Linked DNA regions of Anolis sagrei. The protein of the gene in region 3 purifies or fractionates together with the protein of the main gene of each other region. This does not show direct contact. Links are inferred from orthologs where the notes say so. Each region holds a gene or a part of one and is shown on either strand. Other genes may lie near its edges.

Region 1 (7,393 bases), on a different chromosome or scaffold from region 3:
TGCAAAACACAAGCATAGAGACACCCAAATGCAGCCTCAGTCATGCCATGTGTTGCACACACACCCCCTCAACAACTGCTGTGTAACTGCTCTGGCCTTTGCACAATCAGGGTGGCTCCCCTCACTCAAAACAGGAGAAAGCACTTGATCCCTGTCACGACTGCCGTGCATTTGCTCTGGCCTTTGCACAAGCAGGGCAGCTTCCTTTGCACAAATAGCAGTGCTCCGGTGGAAAACACGAGCATGGAGACACACATATGCAATTTCATTTGTGCCACGTGTTGAACGCCTGCTTCCTCTGCATTTGGCTGCTGCATCCTGCGCACAAGCACTTGGTCCCTGCCACGAATACGGTGAATTTGCTCTGGCCTTTGCACAAGAAGAGCGGCTTCCCTCACACCAAACAACAGCACTTTGATGGAAAACAAAAGCATGGAGACACCCATATGCAACCTCAGTTGTGCCACGAGTTGCACACACACACACACTCCAGGAGTGCTGTGCAATTGCTCTGGCCTTTGCACAAGTAGGGCATCTCCCTTTGCACCAAAGAGTAGAAACACAAATGGCCCAATGTCACAAACGGAGGTACAGAAATGCAACTTTGGTTTGTGCCACGTGTTGCGTGACCCAGAGAGCGGTGAAACATCCCAAAGTGCAATGTGCACCAGGTCTCTTTTCACTAGACTCTGTGTGTGTGTGGGGGGGGGGGGGGGAATCCCCGAGGCAATCTCTCTCTCTCTTATTATCTCCTTCTGGATCCTGCTTTGCAAGAGGAAGTTCCGTGGGTGTCTTGTGCAACGGCGGCGGAGTCCTGGTGCATGCGTGTGTGGGCGTACATGAGAGCAGGAAGCACTGCTGCTGAGTGTGCGAGGATCGAGGTGCAACCCCCCCCCCCCCCCCCCCGCGTGCCTTCTCCTTCTCCAAAAGGCTGGGCAGGAGGAAGGAAGCGGGTGGAGAGGAAGAGGGACAGGAAACCCGCAGCAACTGCAACAGCAAAGGGAGGCCCTCGCACTCGTATTCTTCACACCAGGAGGGCGGGGAAGGCAATGGTGCAGCGGCTGCAAGCACACGCAAAGGCCAAAGCCAGCTGCATTGTAGCTGCAGGGGGGAGGGAGGGGGGGCATTTAAAAGGGGGGGAGGGTGATGGCAGGAACTCACTTTGCAGTTGGGGCTGGACTTCTTGAAGACCCTGCAGGGAGAGAAAGAGGAAGAGTGAGGACGAGGAGGAAGAGAGGGAGCCTTGGAAAGAGGAAGGAACATTCAGGGGGAAATACTTCCCCACTTCCCCCTCCCCAAATGCAAGGGTCCCTTCCCCAAAATGTCAGGTTTTGAGGACACACTCGACACCAACAGCAAAAATACAATTGCGTGCTTCATGTTTGTATGTTTTAGATGGTATGCCGGTGATTTTAGGTTAAGGCGCTTTGAGTCTCCTGCAGGAGGGGCCAAGCCGCCGGGTATACATAAATATTATGTAAATGCACGTGTGTGTGTGTATGTTTGTGTGTGTAATAAATAATAGTAATTTACATTGTATGGCAATTTGAGTCTTTGAGTCTCCTGCCGGAGAGGCCAAGCCACCGGGTATAAATAAATATCATGTGTGTGTCTTGTCGAAGGCTTCCATGGCCGGAATCACTGGGTTGTTGTAGTTTTTTTCAGGCTATATGGCCATGGTCTAGAGGCATTCTCTCCTTTAGGAGACCATGCCAAGTCTAGACCATGGCCATATATATGGCCATGGTCTAGACTTGGCATGGTCTCCTAAAGGAGAGAATGCCTCTAGACCATGGCCATATAGCCTGAAAAAAACTACAACAACCCTATAATGTGTATGCACGTGTGTGGTTTTGTGTGTGTGTGTGTGTGTGTATGTGTATATATATATATATATATATATGTCTGTGTAATAAATAATAATAATAATAATAATAATAATTTAAATGGTATGGTGATGCTTTTAGGTCTTTGAGCTGCTTTGAGTCTCCTTCTGGGGACATAAAGCGGGGTTGTCATAATAGTGACGATGATCCCATGGGAAGAAGAGCGCGCCATGGAGTTTGGGGAAGGGGTGGTGATTACAGGTGGAGTTACCTGGGAGGTCAAAGGTTACTGGGGGGGCAACAGTTGGTCCCCCTTTAGATTGAAGGAGAACACAACGGGGGGAGCGTTGGCTGCTCTGATGTTCCCCCCAAATGGAGCCGTGACCTCTTTTTCCCAGCCAAGGAGCCCCCTCCCCAAACATGGACCCACTTTGTAGTGCGGGGGGCGGGGTGGGGTGGGCTTTGGCGTAGGCCTCAAGGCCACCCAGTGGAGTGAGGGGGGGGGGCTTTCACCCTGTCCACCCCCTTGGCCTGTTGTTGGTGCTGGTCTTGCCTGGCAGGAGCAGGATGTCAACACTGCCCACCCCCCCCCCCCAAGGCGCTGGCTTTGCCCCCCTCGCTCCCCCCTCCCTCCCCCCGTGTGTTTTGGACTTGAGCCCCTGCCTGGCTCAAAGGCCGCCCGGCCTCCCCCTCAAAGCCTTCCCAGAAGGAATGCTGGATGGATGAACCCCAGGGCCCCCCCAGCCCCGCCCCAGGGAGACACCCCCAGAGCCCTCCCCACAGATGGCCACTCTCGCCCCCTCCCTGGGCAGCAGCATCCCGAGGGCCTCCTTGCAAGGGACCCCCAAAGACCCCCCCCCCCGAGGCCACCCAACCCGCCCCCCCCCCACTTATATGAGCCTAGAAGGCGCCGCCCGAGCCCCCCCCCCCGGAGGAGGCCACCCGGCCCCGCCCCAGGAAGACACCACCAGAGCCCTCCCCGCAGATGGCCAGCCGGCCGGCCTGTGTTGCCAGAGCCGCGGGGTGGGTGCCAGGGTCCCCTCCCTCCCTCCCTCCCTCCAAGGGGCCAGGGCGGGCGCCCTCCTGCTGGTACCTGGTGCCCGCCTTCTCCCCCATCCTGGCTTCCCTCCTGCTTCCCTTCCTCTTCCTCTTCCTCTTCCCTCAGCGCCGCAAGGAAGAAGCAGCAGCAGCAGCAGCAGCCATGGCCCCCTCTAGCTTGCCCTCCTTCCTTCCAGGGGCCCCGGTCACGTGGGCAGGACCCCGCAGCCAATCCCAGGGCGCGCCCGAGAGGAGGGGGCGGACGTCATCGCGGCAGGGGGGAGGGAGGGAGGGGGAGGGAGGGGGCAGGAGGCGTGACCCCGCCCTCACCCCAGAAGCCGCGCCTGCGCAGAAGCGCCACAAGGAGAAGGCCGCCCAGAAGGAAGAAGAGCCAACCCTGCTCAGCCAGAGATACACAGATAGATAGATAGATAGATAGATAGATAGATAGATAGATAGATAGATAGATAGATAGATAGATAGATAGATAGATAGATAAATAATAGAGGGATAGATAGATAGATAGATAGGGAGATAGATAGATAGGGAGATAGATAGATAGATAAATAATAGAGGGATAGATAGATAGATAGATAGAGGGATAGATAGATAGGGAGATAGATAGATAGATAGATAGATAGATAGACAGACAGAGGGAAAGATAGATAGATAGATAGACAGAGGGAAAGATAGATAGATAGATAGATAAATAATAGAGGGATAGATAGATAGATAGATAGATAGAGGGATAGATAGATAGGGAGATAGATAGATAGATAAATAATAGAGGGATAGATAGATAGATAGATAGATAGAGGGATAGATAGATAGGGAGATAGATAGATAGATAGATAGACAGACAGAGGGAAAGATAGATAGATAGATAGACAGAGGGAAAGATAGATAGATAGATAGATAGATAGATAGATAGAGGGAAAGATAGATAGAGGGAAAGATAGATAGACAGATAGATACATAGATATATACATAGATAGACACATAGATAGATAGATACATAGATAGATACATAGGTAGATACATAGATAGACACATAGATAGATAGATACATAGATAGATACATAGGTAGATACATAGATAGATACATAGGTACATACATAGATAGACACATAGATACATAGATACATACATAGATAGACACATAGATAGATACATAGATACATAGATACATGCATAGATAGACACATAGATACATAGATAGATACATGCATAGATAGACAGATAGATACATACATACATAGATAGATAGATAGATACATAGATAGATACATAGTGTATTATTGATGTATTGTGGCATAATAACATAGTACACATAACACTATAATAACTACATATACATGTTACATTACTAATAATATTGCAGCCTAGGGTTATAGTACAAAATAGTAATCTATAATACTAATATTGTGCTAGGCTAATAATAGAATATATTTCATGTACATATAATATTGATAATATTATAATTGAATACAATATCATATGAATAATATAATGAGAATAGTGTGATAAAATAATACTATAGAAAGTTTAATTACTACTAATAATATACAATAATATAGAATGGTAATACTGTTTTGTTATTGAATATGTGTATATTTTAAGTTGTAATGTTTTTGATTGTGAGCCACTTTGAGTCTCCGGGTGGGACAAGATGGAGGGAGAAGGTGAACAGCATCCAAGGGGCAGATTTGGCCCTGGGTCAGGACGCGGCATGGACACGGATTGTTCAGTCCCTGGAAGCACACCGGAAGAGCCATGTAAGCTTTTTCTGAAGGCAGCCAGGGTGGGTGCCTGCCTCATCTCCTTGGGGAGCAAGTTCCAGAGCCGGGAGGCAACCACAGAGAAGGCCCTCTTCCTCGTAAACATAAAGTTTAATAACAATAATAGTCTTCTCTAGGCTTTGCTGTCTCCTCATGATGTGGCATTCAAAGGACTTCAGCTTTCCCTCTAGTCTCCTTCCCTCCAGTGAGCTTTAGTCGGGCTTTCTTTCCTGGAGGATGGACTGGTTGGATCTCCTCGCAGTCCAAGGCACTCTCAGCACTTTCCTCCAACACCACAGCTCAAAAGCATCTCTCTTCCTTGGCTCAGCCTTCCCGAAGGTCCAGCTCTCACCTCCGTAGATGTGACTACTACAGGGAATACCATGGCTTGGACTAGGCAGTGGATCTTGGTTGCCAGTCTGAGGTCTCTGCTCTTTACTATTTTATCGAGACTGGACATTGCTCTCCTCCCAAGAAGGAAGCGTCTCCTGATTTCCTGGCCTCAGTCTGCATCTGCACTCATCTTTGCACCTAGAAATACAAAGTCTGTCACGGCTCCACATTTTCTCCCTCTATTTCCCAGTTGTCAATCATTCTTGTTGCCATAATCTTGGGTTTCTTGATGTTTAGCTGCAACCCGGCTTTTGCGCTTTCTTCTTTCACCTTGATTGGAAGGCTCCTCAGCTCCTCCTCACTTTCGGCCATCAAAGTGGTGTCATCTGCATATCTAAGGTTGTTAATGTTTCTTCCAGCAATTTTCACCCCAGCCTTAGATTCGTCAAGCTGGGCAACTTGTATCCTCACATGAGGATACAAGTTGAATAGGTTAGGTGAGAGTAGACAACCCTGCCATACGCCTTTCCCAATCTTGAACCAGGCTGTTGTTCTGTGGTCAGTTCTGACTGTTGCTCCTTGGTCGTGATGCAGATTCGTCAGGAGACAGACAAGGTGACACTTGGTCTCCACATACATGCCACCATGGACAGTTTATTATGATCCACCCAAAGGCTTTAGAATAGTCAATAAAACGGAACTAGATGTTCCTCTGAAGCTCCCTGCCTGCCTTTCTCCGTGATCCAGCATCCGAATCCTGGCAAGTTGGTCTGGTTCCTCTGCCTTTTCTAAAGCCAGCTTGCACGCCTGTCAACTCTCACTCCATGTACTATATTATGTAAATATAATACATAATAAATAAGAATAATAAGAAATCCTCATGGTGGTAGGAATTATAAATTGTATGTGTCTTAAAATTGATTACTTTTATAAAAAAAATAAACCTAAATGAATAATGGTAATAGGAAAATATTTTATTTATTTATTTATTATTTATTTAGACTTGTATACCGCCACTCCCAGTTTGGCTCGGAGCGGTTTACAGCAGTAGATTAAAACAATACAACCAACTTTAAAATACAATAAAGCAAGAACAGACATAGTCCCAAGTTATTCACCCATTGAAAGCTTGTTGGAAAAGAAAGGTTATATTTATATCAATGTAAATATAATAATAAATAAGTGTATATATATATATATATATATATGTATATATAAGGATAAAAAGAAAGATAGAAATACACAATAAGGATATGTATACATGTAAATATAACAATAAATATGTAATAAGGATTTATTTATTTATCGAGTCATCAGCAACTAGTCAATTATATTTCTAACAGAACAAAGCAAACAAACAAACAGACAAAATACAAAATACAGAATAAAAAAATTGTGAGTTTGGTAGTTGATTAGATGTCCTTTGCCCAGTATCTGTCCCCTTTGAGTGCCTCTGGTGTTGCTGCAAGAAGGTCCTCCCTTGCACATCATGTGGCAGGGCTCAGGTTGCATTGCAGCAGGTGGTCAGTGGTTTGCTGTTCTCCACACTCGCATGTCGTGGACTCCACTTTGTGGCCCCATTTCTTGAGGTTGGCTCTGCATCTTGTGGTGCCAGAGCGCAGTCTGTTCAGCACCTTCCAAGTTGCCATGTCTTCTGTGTGCCCAGGGGGAAGTCTCTCATCTGGTATCAGGTTCTGAGTTTGAGCCTGCCACTTTTGGACTCTCACTTGCTGAGGTGTTCCAGCGAGTGTCTCTGTAGATCTTAGAAAACTATTTCTTGATTTAAGTTGTTGACGTGCTGGCTGATACCCAAACAAGGGATGAGCTGGAGATGTCTGTGCCTTGGTCCCTTCACTATTGGCTGCTCCTTCCCGGCAGATGTCAGGTGGTGCAATACCGGCTAAGCAGTGTAATTTCTCCAGTGGTGTAGGGTGTAATAAGGATACATCTATGCAAATGGAATAAGTAATAAATAATAATGATATATACAAATGTAAATCTGTAATAAATAATTATATATATATATATATATAACATGCAACTATCGTAATAGTAATTAATAATAAGTAAATAATAACAATGTGGTGTTGAAGGCTTTCATAATATATTTCACATAATATCCTCTATTCCAACCCCAGCCTCCGGACATGCGCAGAAGCCCTTTCCCTTCTCCTTCCCTGGAGCAGGCCCCGCCCCTATTCATGCAAATAAGGGAGCGGTCGTTTCAAGGTCCCCCGCCACCCACCAACCGGGCTGCGGTTTCCAGGCTCCCCGGCGGTGGCCTTCCCGGCGTGCCTGGCGGGCCTTCCTCCCCGCCCCTTCCGCCTGTTGGCGCATGCGCGGTGCGCCCGGGGCGAGCATCATGGCGGCGTTGGCGTTGGCGGTGTCCTCGTCCTCGTCGCCGGGCTTCCCTCCGCC
Region 2 (7,978 bases), about 140 Mb from region 3:
CCTGCGAGACGTGGACTGTCTACAGACGTCACATGCAACTCCTGGAACGATTCCATCAGCACTGCCTCCGGAGAATCCTGCAAAAATCTTGGGAGGACAAACGGACAAACGTCAGCGTGCTGGAAGAAGCAAAGACCACCAGCATTGAAGCGATGGTCCTCCGCCATCAACTCCGCTGGACCGGCCACGTTGTCCAGATGCCCGACCACCGTCTCCCAAAGCAGTTGCTCTACTCCGAACTCAAGAATGGAAAAAGGAAATGTTGGTGGGCAGGAAAAGAGATTTAAAGATGGGCTCAAAGCCAACCTTAAAAACACTGAGAACTGAGAAGCCCTGGCCCTTGAGCGCTCCAGCTGGAGGTCAGCTGTGACCAGCAGTGCTGTAGAATTTGAAGAGACGTGAATGGAGGGTGAAAGAGAGAAACGTGCCAAGAGGAAGGCGCGTCAAGCCAACCCCAACCGGGACCCGCCTTCCACCTGGAAACCAATGCCCTCACTTTGGAAGGGAGAACATGCAGATCAAGAATAGGGCTCCACAGTCACCTACGGACCCACCACAACCACACTGATCCTGGAAGTCTATCCTACTCAGACAACGAGGTAAGTAAGTAAGTAAGTTAGTAAGCAAATATAAATATGTGAGAGGAAGTTCTAGGGCGGAGGGAACAAGCTTGTTTTCCGCTGCCCTGAAGACTAGGACGCAAGGGAACAATGGCTTCAAACTACAAGAGAGGAGATTCCATCTGAACATTAGGAAGAACTTCCTGACTGTGAGAGCTGTTCAGCAGTGGAACTCTCTGCCCCGGAGTGTGGTGGAGGCTCCTTCTTTGGAGGCTTTTAAACAGAGGCTGGATGGCCATCTGTTGGGGGTGCTTTGAATGCAATTTTCCTGCTTCTAGGCAGAATGGGGTTGGACTGGATGGCCCAGGAGGTCTCTTCCAACTCTAGGGTTCTATGAGTCTATTCTATGGAATATGGGAGTCGTAGTTTTGCAAAGACTTAAATCTTCTCTTCCAAAGAGTGCTGTTTCTTCACCAAACTACATCTCCCAAGGTCCATAGCATAGCAATAGCAAGAAGAGGGCTGAAGTTAGCCCATGCCTGGTCTAGACCAAGGGAGGTCATAGTTCCAACTCAATTCTGCTTTGATCAGACCTCCTCATCTGGAGAAACCCTGCTTCCAGCATTTGGATGGATACCATGCCTCAATGCCTCAATGCGATAGCATGATGGGATTTGTAGTTTGGTGAGGCCCCAGCGGGGAAGGTTCAACACCTTGTAAAGCTACAACTCCCAGGATGCTGTCATACACCAGAGCAGGAACACCTCTGACCTTAAGCACCAAACCAGCTTGGTAAAATCAGCCTGAGGCCCCATTCTTTCCCCCTTCATGGGCCAACTTTGGCCCTCCAGGTGTTTTAGACTTCAACTCCCACCATTCCTAACAGCCTCAGGCCCCATCCTTTCCCCCTCAGCCGCTTAAGCAAGGAAAGGAAAGGGCCTGAGGCTGTTAGGAATTGTGGGAGTTGAAGTCCAAAACACCTGGAGGGCCCAAGTTGGACCATGAAGAGGGAAAGGATGGGGCCTGAGGCTGTTAGGAATGGTGGGAGTTGAAGTCCATAAAGACCTGGAGGGCCCAAGTTGGCCCATTAAGGGGGAAAGGATGGGGCCTGAGGCTGTTAGGAATTGTGAGAGTTGTAGTCCAAAAGACCTGGAGGGCCCAAGTTGGCCCATGAAGGGGGAAAGGATGGGGGCTGAGGCTGTTAGGAATTGTGGGAGTTGTAGTCCATAAAGACCTGGAGGGCCCAAGTTGGCCCATGAAGGGGGAAAGGATGGGGGCTGAGGCTGTTGGGAATTGTGGGAGTTGAAGTCCAAAACACCTGGAGGGCCCAAGTCGGGGTTGGCTTGACGCGCCTTCCTCTTGGCACATTTATCTCTTTTGCCCTCCTTCTGCAGCACTGCTGGTCACAGCTGACCTCCAGCTGGAGCGCTCAAGGGCCCAAGTTTGCTCAGGCCTGTCCTTTAGGATCATGGGGTTTGTAGTTTGGCACCTGGTCACCGAAACATAGCAGAGCATGTGCAGAGTGCTTTCGAGATCCTCCATGAACCTAAGACGTGCATCTATCACAGGCATGGGCAAATGTCATCCCTCCGGGCATTTTGGACTTCAGCATCCACAATTCCTAATAGCCGGCTGCTAGGGATTGTGGGTGTCGAAGTCCAAAATGCCCGGAGGGATGAATTTGCCTGTGCCTGATCTCCCTCGTAGAGTTCATAGAACGTAGAATCATAGAATCAAAGAGTTGGAAGAGACCTCATGGGCCATCCAGTCCAACCCCATTCTGCCAAGAAGCAGGAATATTGCATTCAAATCACCCCTGACAGATGGCCATCCAGCCTCTGCTTAAAAGCCTCCAAAGAAGGAGCCTCCACCACACTCCGGGGCAGAGAGTTCCACTGCTGAACGGCTCTCACAGTCAGAGAGTTCTTCCTAATGTTCAGATGCGCCGCAGACAAAGGAAGTTCAGGCAGTTTGACATCATTGTGTCATGCTCAGGGGTCCTATGGCATGAATCCTTTGCAATTCCCCACAAACAGATCCCCACATACCAAAACACCTAGAGGGGCCAAGTTGGCCCATGTCTGCACTAGATGGATACAGTGGACCCATTTGTGCCATTGCAAGAGATTTGAGCCTCTGGAGAGATGCTCACCCATGTGCCCATGCTACCCCTTGCTTACCGCTTCATGACCTCTTCTGTGGCTCTGTTTGTGGGGCCCCCGTCGAGACCTCTGGATCCCCCATGGGCCCCTTTCATGGCAGAAGGGGCCAGCAAACGAGTCGAGACAGGGAAGGCAGGGAAGAAGGCTGAACCTCGCTCGGCTGGACCAGGCGCAACCCTGTGCCTGGCACGATTGTTCCTGTGCCGGCATCACACGCCGTGCGCCAGCCCAGCCCTCTCTCTGCTGCGGCAGCATGGAGCGCACAAGCCGTGTGTTGCAGCGGCTGTCTTTGCTCCAAAAAGGGCTTCCTGAGCATCCCAGGAAGGCAGCGCAAAGGAAGCCCGGCTGCGATGCGCGGTCCAGATGCTTCCCGTAAAACACAGCAGCCCAGCCCTTGCCAAGGACGCATCCCAATGCTCCAAACGGAAAGGCGATGGTGGACGCATCACGGAATCAGCACACGCCTTGCATCTCCTTGCCAGGTTTCCTTGCAGGTCCATTGTCTGCAGCGCATCCTCTCCTTTCCCACACTGTGTCTCACAGGTAATTTGTTTTTCTCTGTATACAGATATATATATATATACACACACACACTAGCCACCCCCTGCCATGCATTGCTGTGGCCCAGTCTGTATATATGTATTTTGTGTGTGTATGTGTTATGGACCCACCCTGGAGGATTATCCTACTCGAACAACGAGGGGTCACCTAAGTAAGTAATGTGTGTGTATATATTTGTGTCTGCATATATATGTGTGTGTGGGTGTATATATGTGTGTGTATATTTGTGTATTTATATTTGTGTGTTTATTGGTTTATATATGTATATGCATCCTACTCGAACGAGAGGTCACCTAAGGAAGTAATGTGTGCTTATATATTTGTGTATATATGTGTGTTTGCATATATATGTGTGTGTGGGTGTATACATGTGTGTGCATATTTGTGTATTTGTGTGTTTATTTGTTTATATATGTATATGCATATTGTGTATTTGTGTGCTTGTCTATATGCATATTTGTGTGTATATATGTGTATGTATATATTTGTGTGCATGTGTATATGCATATACACATGTGTGCATGTATGTGTGCATGTGTATATGTATATGTGTGTATATATGTATATTTGTGTGTGCCTGTGCATATGTATATATGTGTGTATGTGTGTGTATATATGTGTGTATATTTGTATGTTCTTGTGCATATATGTGCGTGTGTATGAATGTGTGCATATGTATATATGTGTGTATGTGTGTATATATGTGTGTATATTTGTATGTGCTTGTGCACATGTGTATATGTATATGTGTTTATATATGTATATTTGTAAGTACATGTACATATGTATATATGTGTGTATATATGTGTGTGTATGAATGTGCACATGTGTATATGTATATGTGTTTATATATGTATATTTGTATGTGCATGTGCATATGTATATATGTGTGTATATTTGTATGTGCTTGTGCATGAATGTGTGTATGAATGTGTGCATATGTGTGTATATATGTGTATATTTGTATGTGCTTGTGCATATATGTGCGCATGTGCATGTGCATGTGTATATGTATATGTGTGCATGTGTATATGTATATGTGTGTATATATGTGTATATTTGTATGTGCTTGTGCATATGTGTGTGTATGAATGTGTGCATGTGTATATGTATGTGTGTATATATGTATATTTGTATGTGCATGTGCATACATATATGTGTGTATATATGTGTATATATTTGTATGTGCTTGTGCATATATGTGTCTGTGTATGAATGTGTGCATATGTATATATGTGTGTATGTGTGTATATGCGTATATTTGTATGTGCTTGTGCATATGTGTGTGTATGAATGTACACATGTGTATATGTATATGTGTGTATATATGTATATTTGTATGTGCATGTGCATATGTATATATGTGTGTATATGTGTGTGTATATTTGTATGTGCTTGTGCATATATGTGCGTGTGTATGAATGTGTGCATATGTATATATGTGTGTATGTGTGTATATATGTGTATATCTGTATGTGCTTGTGCATATATGTGTATGAATGTGTGCATGTGTATATGTATATGTGTGCAGCTAGTAGCCAGGGCAGACCCTGCTTAGCATCCACGATGTGAAAGGGCCTGGTGCACTTAGGATATTCGGGTGTTTCGAGAATACATCCCACAGTATTAAGTATCTGCTTGCGGTCTCCCATCCAGGTAGTAAACAGGGCAGACCCTGCTTAGCTCCAAAGATCAGGTGTCTTTAGAGATATTTGCAAACAACTACCATGGAAAGCATCTTGTCCTCAGACTTCTTGTAAGTCAAACCCAACTGGATGGCAAATGAAACCAAATGCAGGATGTGCTTGTTTTGCCCCCAGCATCATCTCTTCCACCAGCTGCGCACTGGATCTAGATGCATTTGAGCCCAAGACCTTCGGCCTGCAAAGAGAGTGACCTTTGGCCGTTCTGTCCAAATCTGTCCCATCATTGGGAGCTATGCGCTGTCCGCACATCTTCCCGATGCAGAGGTCAGCGCCTCGTCCTTCGGCTCCAAAACTTCCCAGCAATGTCACTGCGAATGGCCTCTGCCTTGTGTCTTTCCTCTCAAACCCAGAGGGACCAGAAGAGAGCAAACTGGGGCAACTGGGATGGGAGAAAGAGTGACGCAAAGCGCATGTGGCCCATGGGGAAGAACATCAGAAATGACATGCTCCATGGGGATGGTATAGCCACTCTGGGTTTGAAATCGCCAATTAAAAGCAGCTGTGCATGAGTGCAAAGGGAGTTTACACAATAATACATGATCTAAACACCCTAAAGGGGCCAGATCTCATCTAATTTTGGAAGCTAAGCAGGGTCAGTCCTGGATAGTACTTGGAGGGGAGACCATCTACTATAGGTTGTAGGGAATGGCTATCTCTGAGTCTTCCTGGCCTATTCACAAAATAATACAGTGCCTAAATACCCAAAAGGTGTCAGATACCATCTAATCTTGGAAGCTAAGCAGGGTCAGCCTTGGTTAGGACTTGGAAGGGAGACCGTCTACTATAGGTTGTGTTTCAGACACAAGGGAATGACTATCTCTCAGTCTTCCTGGCCTATTTACAAATTAATATTGGGCCTAAATACCTAAAAAGTGCCAGATCCCATCCTATATTGGAAGCTAAGCAGGGCCAACCCTGGTTAGGACTTGGAGGGGAGACCATCTACTATAGCTTGTGTTTCAAACAAAAGGGAATGACTATCTCTGAGTCTTCCTGGCCTATTAGCAAAATAATAGAGTTTCTAACTACCCAAAAAGTGCTAGAGTCCATCAGATCTTGGAAGCTAAGCAGGGTCAACTCTGGATAGTACTTGGAGGGGAGACCATATACTATAGGTTGTGTTTCAAACAAAAGGGAATGACTATCTCTGTGTCTTCCTGGCCTATTCACAAAATAATACAGTGCCCAAATGCCCAAAATGTGCCAGATCCCATCTGATCTTGGAAGCTAAGCAGGGCCAACCCTGGTTAGGACTTGGAGGGGAGACCATCAACTATAGGTTGTGTTTCAAACAAAAGGGAATGACTATCTCTGTGTCTTCCTAGTCTATTCACAAAATAATACAGTGCCTAAATGCCCAAAATGTGCCAGATCCCATCCTATCTTGGAAGCTAAGCAGGGTCAGCCTTGGTTAGGACTTGGAAGGGAGACCAATGGGAAAAGATTATATTTCAAACTAAGGGAATAATTATCTCTCAGTCTTCCTGGCCTATTCACAAAACAATATAAGGCCTAAATACCCAAAAGGTGCCAGATTCTGATTGATCTTGGAAGCTAAGCAGGGTCAGCCCTGGTTAGGACTTGGAGGGGAGACCACACAACAAATACCCGCTGCTATAAGTTGTATTTCAAAGGAAGGAACTGGAATGACTATCTCTGAGTCTTCCTGGCTTATTCACAAACAATACAGGGTGCAAATACCCAAAAGGTGCCACCCTGTTCTTGGAAGCTAAGCAAGGTCAGCCCTGTTTAGGACTTGGAGGGGAGAGCCAGCTGTATAGGCTGTATTGCAGGAGGAGGAGCTGGCCAAACCACCAGTTCCTCCTCTACTAGATGGAGGAAACTTAGGATATAAAGCAGGAAATGGAGCAAATCTCTAAATATACATATGCAACCACCCAGTGCATCTTTGCAAGTTGCAACCCCAAATGCATAGGTGGGCCATTATCCATCTGGAGATGAGCCCAAATGCATTAGCATTGTATGCTAGTTTTGTGCATGAAGCAGCCTTTCATTGGCAGATCTTTGGAAGGCTTTAATTGCGCTGCTGACAGGTCTATGAAGACAGCAGATTACAGGAGCTGTCTTCATAGACCTGTCAGCATCAGCAGCAGCATATGGTACTGTAAATCACCACTTTCTCCTGAGAAAAATCTAGAGTATCACAAAGGATGACCACCTCACCAGCTTCATAGGAAACCTGCTACAAAACAGGAGCTTTTTTGTTGAGTTCCAGGGCCAGAGAAGCAAAAGGCAAGAACAGCAGAACGGCCTGCCTCAGGGTAGCGTGCTTGTTTCATCAATGTTTAACATTTACACAAATGACCAGCCACTGCCAGAAGGGACAGAGAGTTTCATCTATGCTGATGATTGTGCCATCACCGCTACAAACCCACCAAGAAAATCCAACAAATGCTACGTTCAGCAAAGGACAAGAGGGATCCTCTCACCTCTGCAGGAGTCTACCGTATACTAGGGCTGGGCGGTTTCGTTTCGTTAATTCGTAATTCGTTAATAATTCGTTAATTTTTTAAATTACAAAACGATAACGAACCATTCTGGAGCAATTTTTTTAAAAAACGATTTTTTAAACACGTTTTGTAAATGCTTCGTATTTTGTTATTGTATTCGTTTCATTATTGTTCTGAGGTCGTTTCGTTATTATTTCCGCATGTCTGGGGCAAGTTTTTTGTTTAATTAGTGAAAAAAAATTATAATATCATACCAACAGTCAAGAACAGAGGGAGAGGGAAGCTTCAGAAGTTTTTGGAGGTTTTTTAGCGTATTTCGCGGTCGCGTCCGCCATTAACGAATCGATTCGTTATTGTTTCGGAAATCGATTCGTTAATGTTTTGTAATATTTTTCACATTTACGAAATTTCATAAATATCGAACTTTTTAAAAGGAAAATTTTGTAATTATTTTAAATAACGAAACGCAAAAACCCCCAAAAAACGAATCGATTTTAGAAACAAATTTTTCCGTTGTT
Region 3 (7,397 bases):
ATGGTTAGTCAGGTACCATGTACTGCTCCCCACAGGAAAGTCATAGCTGCAGGTAGTCATCTTGACCGGACCATAACATCAGGCTGGGCAAGTGAATCCCTTACAGGCCAGTCTGTATGTAGGTAAGTTCCACTAAACTCAACAGTACTAGCAGTGATGCTTTATATCAGGCCTTCTTAAACTTTTCCCACTCACAACCTGTTCCTCCCAAAAAATCTTTATGTGATTTCACATATATCTATATAAATAAAAATATAATGTTTGTTTGTGGGATTAACATATCTCAAAAACCACTGGATGAATTGACACCACATTTGGACACAATATACTTATCAGGCCAACAAGTGACCATCAGACATAAAAACACTGAAAAACACAGGGACTTGAAAAGCCAAAAAAGCAAAAAAACGCTACATGTGCAAAAGTGACTCCCCTTGGCAAACAAAACACACAATAGCATATCCAAACCCTCTTCCAGACTACAGTTCCCAACATCCCCTAGACCAGACCCTTTAGGAGAGGAGGATGATCCAAATGCACTGCTTCCAAGCTGCAAGCTTTCTTCTCCTTGGATTTCTTTGAGAGCATCCTAATCCCTGCATATTTCCAATTTCCTATTACTGGATTGCAACTCCCAGCAATCCTCCAGATAGATAGATTAGATGGAGATAGGTAGGTAGGTAGATGGATCAGGAGGACTGTTGGGAGTTGCAGTCCAAGAATAGGTAGAGAAGGAAGAAAGGAGGGAAAGAGGAAGGGAAAGAAAAGGTGAGAGGAAGGAAGGGAAGAGGAAGAGAAGGTGGGAAGGAGAGCAAGAAAGAAAGAAAAAAGAGGAGGAAGGAAAGAGGGAGAGAAGGAAGGAAGTAGAGAAAGAAAAAAGAGGAAGAGGGAGGGAAGGTTAGTCACAGCAACGTGTGGCGGGTACAGCTAGTAGGTATATAAAATAGGTATACAAGTCAAGCATGTATTCAATATAAATCATCAGTTGCAAGGCATACTAAAGAGGCTGTTTTTCCTTTTTGTGGAGTACTGCTGAAGCACTTTCTGCAGAGTCCACTGCAAACATTATGTGATAGGTTTGTTTAAAAGCCTAATACAGCCACCAGGTGGCATCCAGAAAATGTTCACAAGTTTTCAAAGGCCCTTCCAGACAGGCCCTATATCTCAGGATCTGGTCCCAGTTTTCCTGTTTATCCCAGATTATCTGGCAGGGCGGATTCATATAATCCAGTTTAAAGCAGAAAACCTGCGGTCAGACCCTGGGAGATCGGGCCTGTACAGAAGGGGCCAAAGGCCCCTTCTACACTGACATATCATCCAGATTGTCAAAACACATCCAGATTTCAACTGGATTATATGAATTTGCACTGCCATATAATCCAATTTAAAACAGACAATCTGGATTTTAAACGGCAGTGTAAAGGGGCCAAAGCTTCATGACTTCTTCATCAGGCAAAGCTGTGAAAATCATAGAGGAGAAAATTGTGATTATGTTACAGTCTCAGACCCCTTCTACACTGTCATAGAAAATCCAGATTATCTGATTTTAACTGGATTATATGGCAATATAGACTCATATAATCGGGTTCAAAGATATCTGCTTTGATAATCTGGATTATATGGCGGTGTAGAAGGGGCGTCTGAAATTTTGTCAATTACAATTGTACTGCCAGATTGAAAAGCCACCTTCCTGATTGGTCTCAGGGGGACTGGGGTAAAGAGCAATACAAGACAGGTAACAAAATTTCAAATAATTTAGTAACAGAAAAGTAACTTCTCTGTCCCAGTCCTATGCAAAGCCAAGCTTTCCTTTCTTTGACAGAGACATTGTGTTCTTCTGTGTATCTCTACCCAGAAATAAACCTACTGAAGGACTCATCTGAAGTATAAGAGTTAGTATAGAATTTTGCTCCAACTGATTTAGAACAACAATAAGGGTAAATAGTTCATGTGATCCTACGCAAGCATTTTTCAATCAAAATGACTGTTCTGTGACCATTAGAGAAGATTAGGCGCCCTTCCACACAGCCCTATATCACAGAATATTTATTTATTTATTTATTTACAGTATTTATATACCGCTTTTCTCACTCCTAGGGGGACTCAAAGCGGTTTACACATAGATAATGGCAAAAAGTAAATGCCTTACAACTACAATAGTAAAACCACACTTTAAACATAAATCATATTAAAAACGGTACATCCCCAAATATCAAAACAGCTATTAAAACCATAAAACAATCTAATCAGTCGAGTCACCGTTCCAGTCCTGGTTCCACTAAAAGCTGCATACATCTATTGTTTGAAGGCCTGGTCCGAGAACCATGATTTTAATTTTTTTCTAAAGGTCAGGAGCGAGGGAGCAGATCTTACCTCCTTTGGGAGTGTGTTCCATAGGCGGGGGGCCACAGCCGAGAAGGCCCTGCTCCTTGTCCCTGCCAGCTGCATTTGCACTGTTGACGGGAGCAAGAGCAGGGCCTCCCCAGATGATCTTAAATTGTGAGGTGGGACATAGGGGCAGATGCGTTCAGACAAGTAAGCTGGGCCCGAACCGTATAGAGCTTTATAGGTCAAAACCAGCACTTTGAATTGGGCTCGGAGATGTTCCGGCAGCCAGTGGAGCTGGCATAACAGGGGGATGGTATGCTCCCTGTATGCCACCCCAGTTAGTAATCTGGCTGCTGCTTGTTGAACTAACTGAAGTTTCCAAACTGTCTTCAAAGGCAGCCCCTTTGCAGAAATTTATTCGGGATGTAACCAGAGTGTGGACCACCGTGGCCAGATCAGACTTCCCAAGGTACAGGCGCAGCTGGTGCATGAGTTTTAACTGCAAAAGCTCCCGTGTCCACCGCCAAAACCTGGGTTTCCATGCTCAGCGATGAATCCAGGATCACTCCCAAGCTGTGAACCTGCGTTTTCAGAGGGAGTGTAACCGCGTCCAACACAGGCTGTAACCCTATGTCCTGTTCGGTCTTTCGACTGACCAGGAGGACCTCTGTCTTGTCTGGATTCAATTTCAATTTGTTAGCCCTCATCCTGTCCAACACAGCAACCAAGCACCGGTTCAAGGTCTGAACAACCTCCTTAGTGACAAAACTATGCATTCCCTGATTATAAACTATCTTTTATTGGAAGTGGGGGGGGGGGGGTCACCTTCGACTACAACCCCATCCACACAGCTGAATAAAATCCCACATTTTCTGCTTTGAACTGGAATATAAGGTAGTGTAGACTCAGGGCCCTTCCACGCATCCATATAACCGAAAATATCAAGGCAGAAAATCCCACAATATCTGCTTTGAACTGGGTTATCTGAGTCCACACTGCCATATAATCCAGCTGTTTGGAAGGGACAGAAAATGCCATTAACTCGGTCTAATCAAGCTTCCAAAGAACATGGCCTTCATGAAAGAGAAAAGCCAAATAATGAACAGACAGTTGAAATTCTGAGGAAGAAATCACTATAAAATCGTTAACATAATAATATGGGAAAAAACAAATATAACTCCAAAACATGTAATAGAGGACCAAAATGATTAAGTATAAATGTAAATGGAAGGTTTTTCTGTAATACTTTGGTCATTTAATATAATTCTTTCTCGAATTGCCCCCTTACAAATCAAATGTATGTGGAGCATGTGGCCCACGTTGGAAATCAGGGGTATAGACCTCTATAATGCAGTTCCCCGGTGGCGCAGTGGGTTAAAGCGCTGAGCTGCTGAGCTTGTTGACTGAAAGGTCGCAGGTTCGAATTTGGGGAGCAATGTGAGCTTCCGCTGTCAGCCCTAGCTTCTGCCAACCTAGCAGTTCGAAAACATGCAAATGTGAGTAGATCAATAGGTACCGCTCCGGCGGGAAGGTAATGGCGCTCCATGCAGTCATGCCGGCCACATGACCTTGGAGGTGTCTACGGACAACGCTGGCTCTTTGGCTTAGAAATGGAGATGAGCACCACACCCCAGAGTCAGACATGACTGGACTTAATGTCAGGGGACAAACTTTACTAATGCAGTTAAATGCAGTTAAAGTGCATTGTATGTGTAGATTCAAACTAACCTCTAAGGCCCCTTCTACACAGTCCTATATCCCAGAATATCAAGGCAGAAAATCCCACAATATCTGCTTTAAAATGGGTTATCTGAGTCCATACAGAGATAATTTTCTGACTTGATATTCTGAGATATAGGGCTGTGTGAAAGGTCCTTAATGATGACCATGGTTTTGAACTCGCACAGCCGGAAGTTCAGAGCGTGAGGTCTCTTTTAACTATTTCTATCTCTATGTTCTCCTCCCAACCAACCGCTCCTTTCCAAGGTTCGTGGGCGGGGCAGGGGGCGGGGCTGCGTCCTTTTCCGGCGGCAAGATGGCGGCGAAGACGCGTGTGGTGCCCAGCGACCTCTTCCCGCTGGTCTTGGCCTTCCTGAGGGAGAACCACTTCGACGGGGCGGCGCGCGCGTTCGGGAAGGCGGCCGGCGTGGTGAGGGCCTTGTGGGGGGCGAGGCCGGGCCCTGTCGCTCTCCGGAGGGGCGCTGCATGCGGGGAGGGCTGCTCCGCCACGTGGGACCCGGGCCTCCCTCCTGAGGGGCGCCCTGATCCGCAGGGAAGGCCAGGCGAGACCAGGTCCAGTTGGGCTTCCAACTCCCAGAATACCTGGCCATTGAACTTGCAAGGGCTTCTCGGGGTTGGAGGCCTCAACAGCTGGAGGGCCCCAGTTGGAGGAGGCCTCCTTTAGGATATATTACAGTGGCTGTCTGCTTAGCATTGCTGCTTTAAAAGAATGTGTAAAAACACCAAAGCTTCCAACAGTAGGGCCCCTTCCACACAGCTGAATAAAATCCCACATTATCTGCTTTGAACTGGGATATATGGCAGTGTGGACTCAGATAACCCAGTTCAAAACAGATATTGTGGATTATTCTGCCTTGATAGTCTGGAATATAAGGCTGTGTGGAAGGGTCCTCTAATGTGCAGCCTTATTTTGTAGAGGTAATTATGTAAAAAAAAAGGTGTTATTTTGCATCAGTTTATTTCAATTTATGCATTTTAATTTGATATTAGCTGTTTATATTTTATTTTGTTGTACTGTAATTCTGGGCTTGACCTCATGTTAGCTGCCGTGAGTTCCCTTTGGGGAGATGGTGGGGTATAAATAAAGTTTATTATTATTATTCTTTGAAACACAACAAGATGAGTCCACAGCAGACAAGATCACTCTGCTGGCTGTTGTATTGGATCACACGTCAGACACTTCCCAAGTGTATTGTCGAAGGCTTTCATGGCCGGAATCACTGGGTTGTTGTAGGTTTTTTCGGGCTATATGGCCGTGTCTAGAGGCATTCTCACCTGATGTTTCGCCTGCATCTATGGCAAGCATCCTTAGAGGTTGTGAGGTCTGTTGGAACTAGGAAAATTGGTTTATTTATCTGTGGAATGACCAGGGTGGGACAAAGGACTCTTGTCTGCTGGAGAAAACTGGACATCTAATCACCTCTCAACAGAGGTTTGCTCCAGGCACTGTCAGGCAATTATATGATAATCAAAGTGGTCAGTTGAAACATTCACACCTAGCTCCAGCAGACAAGAGTCCTTTGTCCCACCCTGGTCATTCCACAGATATATAAACCCCTTTTCCTAGTTCCAACAGACCTTACTACCTCTGAGGATGCTTGCCATAGATGCAGGCGAAACATCAGGAGAGAATGCCTCTAAACCGTGGCCATATAGCGCGAAAAAAACCTACAACAACCCACTTCCCAAGTGTCTAGGACTGTATGATGTATCGACAAATAATGTATGCAGATCCCAGTAAGGTGGCCTTCTCCAGCTGGCAGATGGTAATTTTGTCAGCGCTGATTGTCTTTAGGCACTGCACCCAGTGCCTTTAGGCACTGCACCCAGGTCTTTAGGTCTTTAGGCACTGCACCCAGTGTGCTGATCACCCCTGGGACCACCTTGACTGGCTTGTGCCAGAGTTTTTGCAGTTCGATCTTTAAATCCTCATATCATGTCAGCTTTTCCAGTTGTTTCTCTTCAATCCTGCTGTCGCCTGGGATTGCAACATCGACGATCCATTATTATTATTATTATTATTTTTATTATTATTTGAGTAAATAGGGATATAAATCAATGGAGAAACATTCACAGAAACTAGCTTAATATAAGTCGTATGAGTGGCTTGAAGGGGGCTGTAGATTTCAGACATAGCTTGGATATGGAGGTCAGTGTGTAAGTAAGAAAAACCAAAGGTTTGGCTTTGTCTCACTAAGGACCCTTCCATGCAATTGTATAAAATCCACATTGAACTGCATTATATGGCAGTGTGGTCTCAGATAACCCAGTTCAAAGCAGATATTGTGGATTACCTGCCTTGATATTCTGGGTTACATGGCTGTGTGGAAGGGCCCTAAGAAGCCTGAAAGGGCCTGTGATGCAAGTGTGTTGGCAACAAGACAACAGTTGCAATAAAGAAGATCCTTCTGAATGCATGTCCGAAACAGTTATTTGCTCTGATTATTGAAACCTTTGTGATTCTGTAACATTATGGAGAAGTGTTGCTGTTTTGGCATGCTGCTTTGATGTAAAATTTACTTAGGAGGCTCCACCATGGGCCCTTCCACACAGCCCTATATCCCAGAATATCAAATCCCACAATGTCTGCTTTGAGCTGGGTTATGTGAGTCCACGCTCAGATAATGTGGGATTTTCTGCCTTGATATTCTGGAATATAGGGCTGCGTGGAAGGGCCCCATGTCACATTTTCTCATCCCTATTACGGTTTCAGCAGCATTGCTGTAAGAGTCCCATACAGAGATCCTATATGGAGTTGTATGCACTATTCTAGGAATATGAGAATTTATATCCCATAATCTAGGAAAACGTGAATAGCTGTGTGTGTGTAATATTAAGATTAACTTGAAAGGAAATCTGGGAAGACATACAGGATTTTTCAAACGAACCTAATTTCAAAGCAGTATATTCCACGATGGCAGCATGTTACAATCGCACAAAAACTTACAAGTGGTTTAATGAGTTATGAGATTTTACTAACCATTTTGACTTGGAAACAAATCTGAAACATAATTCCAAAATGGATAGCATATCATTAGGCCTTATGTTGCAGGGCAGTGTGTTTGCTGGGAGAGGCATCTTGCCATAATCATGTGAAACTCCCACCATGTACTCAAGCACATATTTTGCCCTGTTTACTTTTGTGTCTATTTTACTGCTAGATAACTTTCCTGTCTATGAATAGTCTTACCACATTAGTTAAGACATATGTATTAAATTTGCCTGTGTATTTAACCGAATTGCTATGAATGTATACATTGGTACAGAGCCCATCAAATACCTGAAATCATTAGAGCTATGTTGTAGTGTAAAATATGACAGGGCTGTCC

The links.
Region 1: the proteins of NOLC1 (region 3) and ARRB2 purify together in Homo sapiens (affinity purification with mass spectrometry; 5 studies listed by BioGRID and IntAct, counting the BioPlex papers as one, with this or other methods). This does not show direct contact. The link is inferred for Anolis sagrei from reciprocal best matches to the Homo sapiens genes NOLC1 and ARRB2.
Region 2: the proteins of NOLC1 (region 3) and ARRB1 purify together in Homo sapiens (affinity purification with mass spectrometry; 4 studies listed by BioGRID and IntAct, counting the BioPlex papers as one, with this or other methods). This does not show direct contact. The link is inferred for Anolis sagrei from reciprocal best matches to the Homo sapiens genes NOLC1 and ARRB1.

What each region holds. Positions count from the first base shown.
Region 1 is NC_090026.1:259,485-266,877, forward strand, and holds the start of ARRB2 (beta-arrestin-2), read right to left. Parts: upstream 3,075-7,393; 5' UTR 2,943-3,074; coding exon 2,920-2,942; intron 1,193-2,919; coding exon 1,162-1,192; intron 1-1,161. UniProt on the Homo sapiens protein: Functions in regulating agonist-mediated G-protein coupled receptor (GPCR) signaling by mediating both receptor desensitization and resensitization processes.
Region 2 is NC_090023.1:3,232,633-3,240,610, reverse strand, and holds the start of ARRB1 (beta-arrestin-1), read right to left. Parts: upstream 3,087-7,978; 5' UTR 2,818-3,086; coding exon 2,741-2,817; intron 1-2,740. UniProt on the Homo sapiens protein: Functions in regulating agonist-mediated G-protein coupled receptor (GPCR) signaling by mediating both receptor desensitization and resensitization processes.
Region 3 is NC_090023.1:147,384,976-147,392,372, reverse strand, and holds the start of NOLC1 (nucleolar and coiled-body phosphoprotein 1), read left to right. Parts: upstream 1-4,338; 5' UTR 4,339-4,363; coding exon 4,364-4,477; intron 4,478-7,397. UniProt on the Homo sapiens protein: Nucleolar protein that acts as a regulator of RNA polymerase I by connecting RNA polymerase I with enzymes responsible for ribosomal processing and modification.